2 linked regions of the Daphnia pulex genome follow. The protein of the gene in region 2 purifies or fractionates together with the protein of the main gene of each other region. This does not show direct contact. Links are inferred from orthologs where the notes say so. Each region holds a gene or a part of one and is shown on either strand. Other genes may lie near its edges.

Region 1 (3,665 bases), on a different chromosome or scaffold from region 2:
TGTTCTGCACTTGATCGCACCATTTGCTGTCTATGAGCCCAAGGCAACGTGACATAAATCTTCGTCCAACCGCAAGTCAAGCAACAAACTGGCACTTCTCTCGAAACGCCAACCCTTTCCTAAAAGCAGAAAGCATTTATAAAAAGCCATTACCATGATTACTGATGAGGATTCCCTTCCTGGAGTAACTTACCAGTTGAATTTTAAGAGGCATTGGCATTAGATTTTAAAAAAAGTAGATGAGAAATGTCATTGTAAACCTCTTTACTGCTTCAATAGAGGTAAATGCATTTCCTCGTGACTAAAGTCCTGACTGTATCACACGACGCAAACAGTCTGAGTCTACTGAGAATAAGAGAAAAAAATACAAGAACTTATTCTACAGAGAAAATAGAAAGGTTTAGTACTTGACCTGAAAAGCTCAGCGATAAGGTGACAAACCTTGAAGAGTAAATGAAGAGGACTCATGCTCAATATGGTTCAAATAGAAAGAGCAGCAACAACTGAAACAAAAATTAAGTTGAATGATATAACTTTGAAATAAATGTTCCATCATCCTCAATGTCAAGTGGTGTTTATACTTACAGCTTATCACTCTTGATTAGCCACACAAGGGGTGGTAGCACAGGCAATCCAAAATTCACTGAGGGAGAAAAAAATTTAGAAAGATAACTGTAAAGTCAGGGCAAGAGATTCGAGCAACAATTATCCTATCAAAATGCACCTTTTGCTAAGTATTCACTACTTATTTAATTTGCAAATAATTTTAACCCAGAGTCAAGACCACGCGGTTTTTTTCTTTACCTGTGGATCATTGTCATGCAAATATGCAACATTCGTCTGCTCCTTTCTCCTGTTGCCAGATTTAAAAAAACAATTTTGTGGAACTTTTTTTAGCCCTTCCCCTGGCGGGCGGCAGCCGGCAGGGGCCAAATTACCGAGATATTATTGAGATAGAGATAGATCGTCTTCCCCCCCCCCCTATAAATCCTATTTTTTGTGGGAAAAAATCATTAACAGCCCTTCGGGTACCTTGCTTTTGCTAAACGCATGCGCAGGTAGCTAACTCACTCTGTGAAGTTTCAATGAGTTTTTAATAGTTGATTCACCGACTACCAGAGGTCTAGAGCCCTTTGTAGTTCTTTGATTCTCTTGTAAGATGGCGCAGTGATCGAAGTATCCCGTTAATTATCTATCAACATGTTGTCTGCTATAGCAAAACAGTAAAACACATGTGACATTTTACATTTTCGGTCAGTGAGAACAGAAAATGTTTCTATCGAATTTCGTCAAGTCAGTTTATCGTTTTCAGCAAGCTAGTCGTCAGATTTTGCCTTTCGCTTTAAACCCAAACATAAGTCATCGATTCCCATGTCGGGAATTTTGTGCCCAAGAAAAGTCATCGAATGCCAAACAAGCAGAAGCAGTGTGCGAGCCAAAAAGAAGATATGTGACTTTGACAGAAGAGGTTATTAGTTCGTTAACCAAAGGCGATACGGAACTGATAAAACGACTCAAGATGGCTGAATTTGAATACGAAATATCCAAGCAAGAAGGAACAAGAGCTCCTCCTGGATTGACAATCAATGATTGGCAGGAATTGCTGGAGCTAGAATCAACAAGCAAACGGAAGAAATTTTTAGCATTTCTTTTCAAAAGGGAAATGACGAAACTGAGCCAAAAAAACTCAAAAATAGAACAACAACAAATAAGGGAAGCAAAGTGGCAAGCAGAGAAGGAAGCAATTAAATTAAATCCCCCCACTGAAGAGCATATTAAATATGGACTGGGCCACAACACTATTTTTTTGAAAGTTTACGATACCAAGATGGATCACTACGAAAATAACAGGATGATAAGGGCTGAAAGGTTTGAATTACCTGTGGTCTTTGATCACAGTTATGAACAACACATGACCCAACAGGAGTTGAAGAATGCTGCCAAACAACTAGCACTGTCTTTTATTACAAACAGGGAGCACGAAAATCCATTCCCTTTCCAGTATTGCAATGTCAACTTCAATGGACCCGTGATGAAGCATTTTCTCAAATGGATGCCACATCTGTATAGCCCTGAATTTCCAATCAATCTTAGCTCCAAAAGCTATCTTGACTTGTTTCCAAGAGAAAAGCTCGTCTATCTGACACCTCACTGCAAAACAGAAATGACCCATTTTGATTTTGACAGTGTCTACATCATCGGAACAATGGTTGACAGGAGTGACAGCAAGCCACATTCGTTAGCATTTGCTAAACGAGATAACATCCGAATGGCCAAGTTACCTCTGGATCGATATTTGCGTTTTGGTGGTGGCAGTGGCAAGTGTCTGGCGTTGAACCACATGATTTCCATCCTACTGGAAGTTAAAACCCACGGAGACTGGAATAGAGCCCTTGAGGTCGTTCCAAAACGTAAACTTATGGATCCATATTCAGGAAATGAATCACATCTAAGAACGGTATTCCTTTTTAAAAATATATGTCAATGCCAGAATTAATTTAATTTATTCCCCATTCTAATCTAGAAATACCCAAAGTCAAATGCCGAGATAAGGGGACGAGTGAGAGAAGAATTGGACGAATTATTATTTTCTAACGTCCCCCGTAAAACCAGCAGGTCTAATTCAAAGTCTATCGAAAAGCAGCCGATAAGCAAGTACCTTTTTGATTAGTCGTGATGAAATCCTATTAATAAACAGTAAATATTTTCCAAATTTCGTTTGCTTGTGAGGAATAAGTTGGAATAGATCGTGGTAGTTGTGTATATTTTCTCCAACTCTCAGAGTCGACATATGGCTTTTCTTGGAGAGTGTAGTAGTCCACTCTCTGACAAGTCAAAACACGGTTTCCATCATCATCATCATCATTCACTTTTATATAGTCAAATAGAAAAGGGGATGGGGACCATTCAACACCAATAAATTAAATTGAAAAATTAAGGGAAATCGTGAAAAAAGAAGAGGTGGACCATTGGATTATTTTCCCCGGTCAACACGATCAATAGACCGAAAACAAAGAAGATGGGGGGTTACGGTCGGACACACACACAAGGACGCACCACACACACACACACATACACACAAAAGGCAAAAGAAATATATATAAATACTACAATGGTAAATCCACATCACAGCGACAGCTTATTTTTCTGTTATCTTTCTGTAGGATAAAGATGAAGGGGGGAAATGTTTTTTTTTTCGAGAATAGTAAGAATATTATAAATAATAAAGTCGTGTGTTTTGATGTTTTCCACTTTTTCTTTTCAAAGGGCTTTTTACCTAAGTATGGAGTATGGAGCTGCCCAGAGTATTTGTCAATACGTAGTATCGAAAACACCAAAGGCACGAGAAAACATGTAATACATTCAAGAAAGAGCGGGAGGGTGGAAATTAAGAAGAGTTTCACATCTTATTAATTAATTAATTAATTTTTTTTTTTTTGCATTTTGTAATTTTTTTTAATTTTAATAAGAAAAAAAAAATGGGTGACCCTGTATATTATGATCGTTCTTTCTTCTTTTCTGCTTGTCTTCTTCTGGAAGCCCCGTGAAATGAACTAAATAGTGGGGTGGGAGGGGGGGTTGGTAATCGTTGGCTTTTCGCCCATCCGTCAATCCCAAGGTAATAAATCAAGAGAAAAAGTTAAGGGGGAAAAAGAGAGATCAGA
Region 2 (4,371 bases):
TCTTTATTCTGCAAGCTTTGTTTGGCCTTGAATACAAAATTTCAATCACGTTTTTTTTTTTTAAATATTCATAAAACACGTACTGTACGGAAAATGTCATTCCAATGGGGAAAAACAAATACTAACCTTCGGATTGAAGCGACAAGCGATGCGTTGTTGTCGAGTTCGAGAATCAAAAGCTACTGAACAAAAGAAGCTTTGTGTAGCTCGGTTTTAAAAAGCCTCGAAATGTCAGACTGACTACCGGAGTTCACTGTTCTGTTCTGCAACTGGTTTCTGGCTACTGCACCCATTGCCACAGGCCAGGCCTCTTTCTCTCTTCCTCCCCTTTTCGTAAACAAAATAATAACACTACGCACTGCAGCCAATCAGCAAGTCGGAATTTCTCTGGGTTGATAACAGAAATGAGGATATCCCGCCAGAGATTAATTTAGTAAGTTCACCCTCCTATTCCTTATTAAGCGACTTTCGTTGTGGCTTCGTCCAAATTTAATTTCAAAGAAACAATACTTCAATCAAATTAAAAACGGCCAGAACAAAACAAATTGTCTTTTGGCAGTGGACTGTGCGACATCTCGGAGGTCTTAGTATAAATGTTTTATTTGTCTCTCTCGCAAACATTTCGTAATAACTAATAAATGGGAAATTTTCTAAGTTTCCCGTGTATATTTGGAGAGTATGGAGACCCATATTTGGTGAGTCATCACGCCGATGGCTTTTTCACTCGTTCTGTTTGGTTTCACTTTACGTGGAATTACCCATAAAAAAAATGTCCGTGACGCATGTCGGCATGCGGAAAGTATGTCGGACGTGACTGTTTGATGTGAAAAATGCACAATGATCGAATTCAACGCATTGTAGTAAAACATTTAATGAATAAAAAGAACTGGATTTATTAATTCTTGCGCATTGGTTTTACACGACGAGTAACTAACATGCAGAATTCGAAAAGATTAACAGCGTCGTAAATTTTATTCCAGAAAATATATTTTCTACGGTGTACAAAAATTTGTGATATCACGTTGAAGGTTCGCGGGGTATCGAAGGATAATTAATTCACGCATGGCATATCTGAATCAAGCATACAATAACAAGGCGGCTCGTTGGGAGATTGCCCTTTCATGCAGTGATAACCTGTTCCGCAACTCGGTGAGCACGCTTCCGGTGGGCACAAAAATTTTGCTATTCAAATTGATAAGAATACAGTTAAGAAGAAAACAATGAACAAGTAGGAACTTGCCTGCAATTGGTGTATGTCGACAAAGGGATTTTTGACTGGTAGTCTCCACAGCAATGGCGCTGGCCATTGCAGTCCATATAGAAGTCGCCAAAAGCAAAATCATGCTTGTCATCACTGAGATCTTCATTTTGATCTGTAAGGTTTTCAAATAAAGATTGATAGAGAAAAGTGTGCTGCAAAGAGCCTTTATATGCATCGCAGATGCACACTAAAGTCGGTCGTTCTCGGTCGTTGACTCCGAAATATATAAAAAAAATATGCCAAAAAAATATTGTGTCTTAGCAAATATGCAGGTATTCATCTCTTTATGTGACCGATGTGACCGTTATTCTTGGATTTAAGGTAGGCTAAAGATGTGGTTGGTGTCGGTCTTTTCCTTAGCAAGTTTTGAGACAAGATATTTTTTTTTTCTAGCCAAGGGTGAAAGGCAGGCGCAAAAACATGTCGTAAACTGCCAAAGTTTCCATGGGGAGAAAGTGAATCCCTAAGGAATATTATTTTCAAGAATTTCAAATTTACCGATGTTAACTGACAGCTGTTAATCCCAATGGAATGGGGTGGGACACTAAGCTAAGGATTATTCTACATTTATAGCTCATTTTTAACTTATACCTGCAACCTGCATCTATCCAAATCGAAGGGATGACAACAAGACCACTTTTTCGTCTTTTCAAAGGGAAATCCATTTTTGTTAAATGTCAACGTCTAACTTTCGTAAGGTCGTCTGCTGCCGTACTCGGATCCTTCTCTTGCTGTCTTGCATATCGCGAGGAACAGGCAAAAGGACTCGTGTTTAAATCGCAAAATAAAATTCGTTTGATAAAATGTTGAAAGTAAGTTAAATAACATTGCATTTGTATATGGAATGGAAAATTAAATGCTGTAAAGTAAATATTAAAACAATTTTTTTTCAAATTATGTCAAGAACCCTATATAGTTTTGAGTTTCTGATGTGTATTTATATTACATGTCCGGTTTTCGTTATATGTTTCCCTTTATCGTCACAGAAGACAAATATGGATTTGGAGTAATTGAAACACTTGATTTTAATAGGGAGCTGTTGCCTTGGTGACTGGTGGAGCTTCTGGCTTGGGCCGGGCAACTGTTGAGGTATATCAGAACTGGTTTTCTTGTGAATTTACTATCCAGCCTTGATGTATAATTGTATCATTTGATAGAGAATTGTCCGACAAGGTGGAAGGGTAGTCTTATGTGATCTACCAACTTCTAAAGGACAACAAGTAGCTGCTGGCATGTCAGAAAATGTTATATTTGCCCCAACAGATGTAAAGATAATGTTTAAGAAGTAAAACATAATGTTCAACTAATAACATGTGATGTTCCTAATAGGTTTCTTCTGAGAAAGATGTAATGAATGCTCTTTCCATGTCAAAAGAAAAATTTGGAAAACTTGATGTTGCAGTAAACTGTGCAGGTAATTTTCATTAAATTTAAAAGAATTTCTGTTTGAATAAAAGTTTAATAGCTTGTTTATTTATTAAGGAATTGGAGTTGCTTTCAAAACATACAATTTTAACAAAAATCTTCCACACAAACTAGAAGACTTCATTAAAGTTTTGATGGTAAACACCGTGGGAACTTTCAATGTTATTCGCCTTTCGGCAGGATTAATGGGCGAAAATCAGCCCAACGAAGACGGTCAAAGAGGAGTGATAGTCAATACTGCATCTGTAGCTGCTTACGATGGTCAGATGGGTCAAGCCGCCTATTCTGCAAGCAAAGGAGCAATTGTTGGAATGACTCTACCGATTGCGAGAGATCTGTCGTCCCAGGTAATTTAATAAAACTAATTAACTGGAGGTGTAGAGATAAAATGGCTCAAGTTAAAACTGGTTACAATGTTAACTAATTATTATCATTTCTAGGGTATCAGGGTTTGTACCATTGCACCAGGATTGTTTAAAACTCCTTTGCTCGAGTCTTTACCTGAAAAAGTGCAGTCATATTTGGCAAAGACCGTACCATTTCCGCAACGTCTGGGTAAGCCAGATGAGTATGCAATGATGGTTGAATCAATTATACTCAACCCAATGATGAACGGAGAAGTGGTTCGTGTTGATGGCGCTATCCGCATGCAACCGTAAAAAAATCCAATCATTTAAAAACTAAACCAGAGTAAACAGTAATAAGTTATTGTTGTAATTTGCAATGTTCAATGGCTTATTCTTTAGTAAAGAGCTTTCGTGAGATAATACAAATCTTTATATTATTATTTTGTATTGAACGAACTTTTTTCGTGAATTGCTTCCAACTTTTGGAACTTTGTTGAGACATTTTTTTTTTATATGGTCACTTCAGTTTTCTAATTTAATTTAATGTTTAATCGGGTTTGGAGATATTCTACCAGAGAGGACGATTGGAGAAACGATACTTAACTGCTTGGGAATACAACTGTATAAATTAAAAATATGCAACCTGCTGCAGCGATAAAATTGATAAAAATCCTGACTTCTAAGGAGGGACAATAGCATTTACTGGTAGAGGAAAAATGGCGCCTCTGACTGGACAAAAAGATCACAAGATAATGAAAAGGGACTAAGGAACACTTAACGTGCGCTGGGCATGGCCGCTGACCCGCTGCGGCTGCCCGTTTGGACAGCGTGTCAGCTCAGCACCGCATGCGGACTTGCGGTACACGTAGTTACAACACAATATAGTAATATTATATGTATTACAATAACATGAATATATATATATTAAGTTATTAACATATAATATTATTCGCACGCGTTAATAACTTGCGGACTAACAAGATGTAGCATGTAGTAGCATGTAGTAGGGCAACTTCAAATTGTTCGTTTACGACTTTTGCAAGATTTAGCGTCGTCTGCACTGAAATATTGTGCCGTCCGCGAACTCCACGTGTGTAAAACGTCTATAGTACCAAGTGAACGGTTACATTTTCTTTTACTATATTAAGTAATTAACAGTAGTAAATAGTGGGATGGCAGGAGGTGAACAGGCTTCACATCGACCCGGTCTTCTAAAACAGCAAAATAAATCTCATAAAAATGGGAGACATCGCAGCAAAAGTGAAATTGACAAGAACAACAAAGGTAAGCAAATATTTGTATTTTATTTTACTGGCGTCATTTTCAAACTAACTTAGT

What was found. Proteins that work in one complex are often made in the same cells at the same time.
Region 1: the proteins of 3-hydroxyacyl-CoA dehydrogenase type-2-like (region 2) and mitochondrial ribonuclease P protein 1 homolog purify together in Homo sapiens (co-immunoprecipitation; 3 studies listed by BioGRID and IntAct, counting the BioPlex papers as one, with this or other methods). This does not show direct contact. The link is inferred for Daphnia pulex from reciprocal best matches to the Homo sapiens genes HSD17B10 and TRMT10C.

The regions. Positions count from the first base shown.
Region 1 is NC_060023.1:12,059,891-12,063,555, reverse strand, and holds mitochondrial ribonuclease P protein 1 homolog, read left to right. Parts: upstream 1-1,178; 5' UTR 1,179-1,270; coding exon 1,271-2,458; intron 2,459-2,524; coding exon 2,525-2,671; 3' UTR 2,672-2,686; downstream 2,687-3,665. UniProt on the Homo sapiens protein: Mitochondrial tRNA N(1)-methyltransferase involved in mitochondrial tRNA maturation. Component of mitochondrial ribonuclease P, a complex composed of TRMT10C/MRPP1, HSD17B10/MRPP2 and PRORP/MRPP3, which cleaves tRNA molecules in their 5'-ends.
Region 2 is NC_060018.1:6,280,525-6,284,895, reverse strand, and holds 3-hydroxyacyl-CoA dehydrogenase type-2-like, read left to right. Parts: upstream 1-1,926; 5' UTR 1,927-2,064; coding exon 2,065-2,073; intron 2,074-2,293; coding exon 2,294-2,350; intron 2,351-2,418; coding exon 2,419-2,526; intron 2,527-2,590; coding exon 2,591-2,675; intron 2,676-2,743; coding exon 2,744-3,033; intron 3,034-3,126; coding exon 3,127-3,345; 3' UTR 3,346-3,473; downstream 3,474-4,371. Other genes in the region: pre-rRNA-processing protein TSR1 homolog, read left to right, coding at 4,206-4,317. UniProt on the Homo sapiens protein: Mitochondrial dehydrogenase involved in pathways of fatty acid, branched-chain amino acid and steroid metabolism. Acts as (S)-3-hydroxyacyl-CoA dehydrogenase in mitochondrial fatty acid beta-oxidation, a major degradation pathway of fatty acids.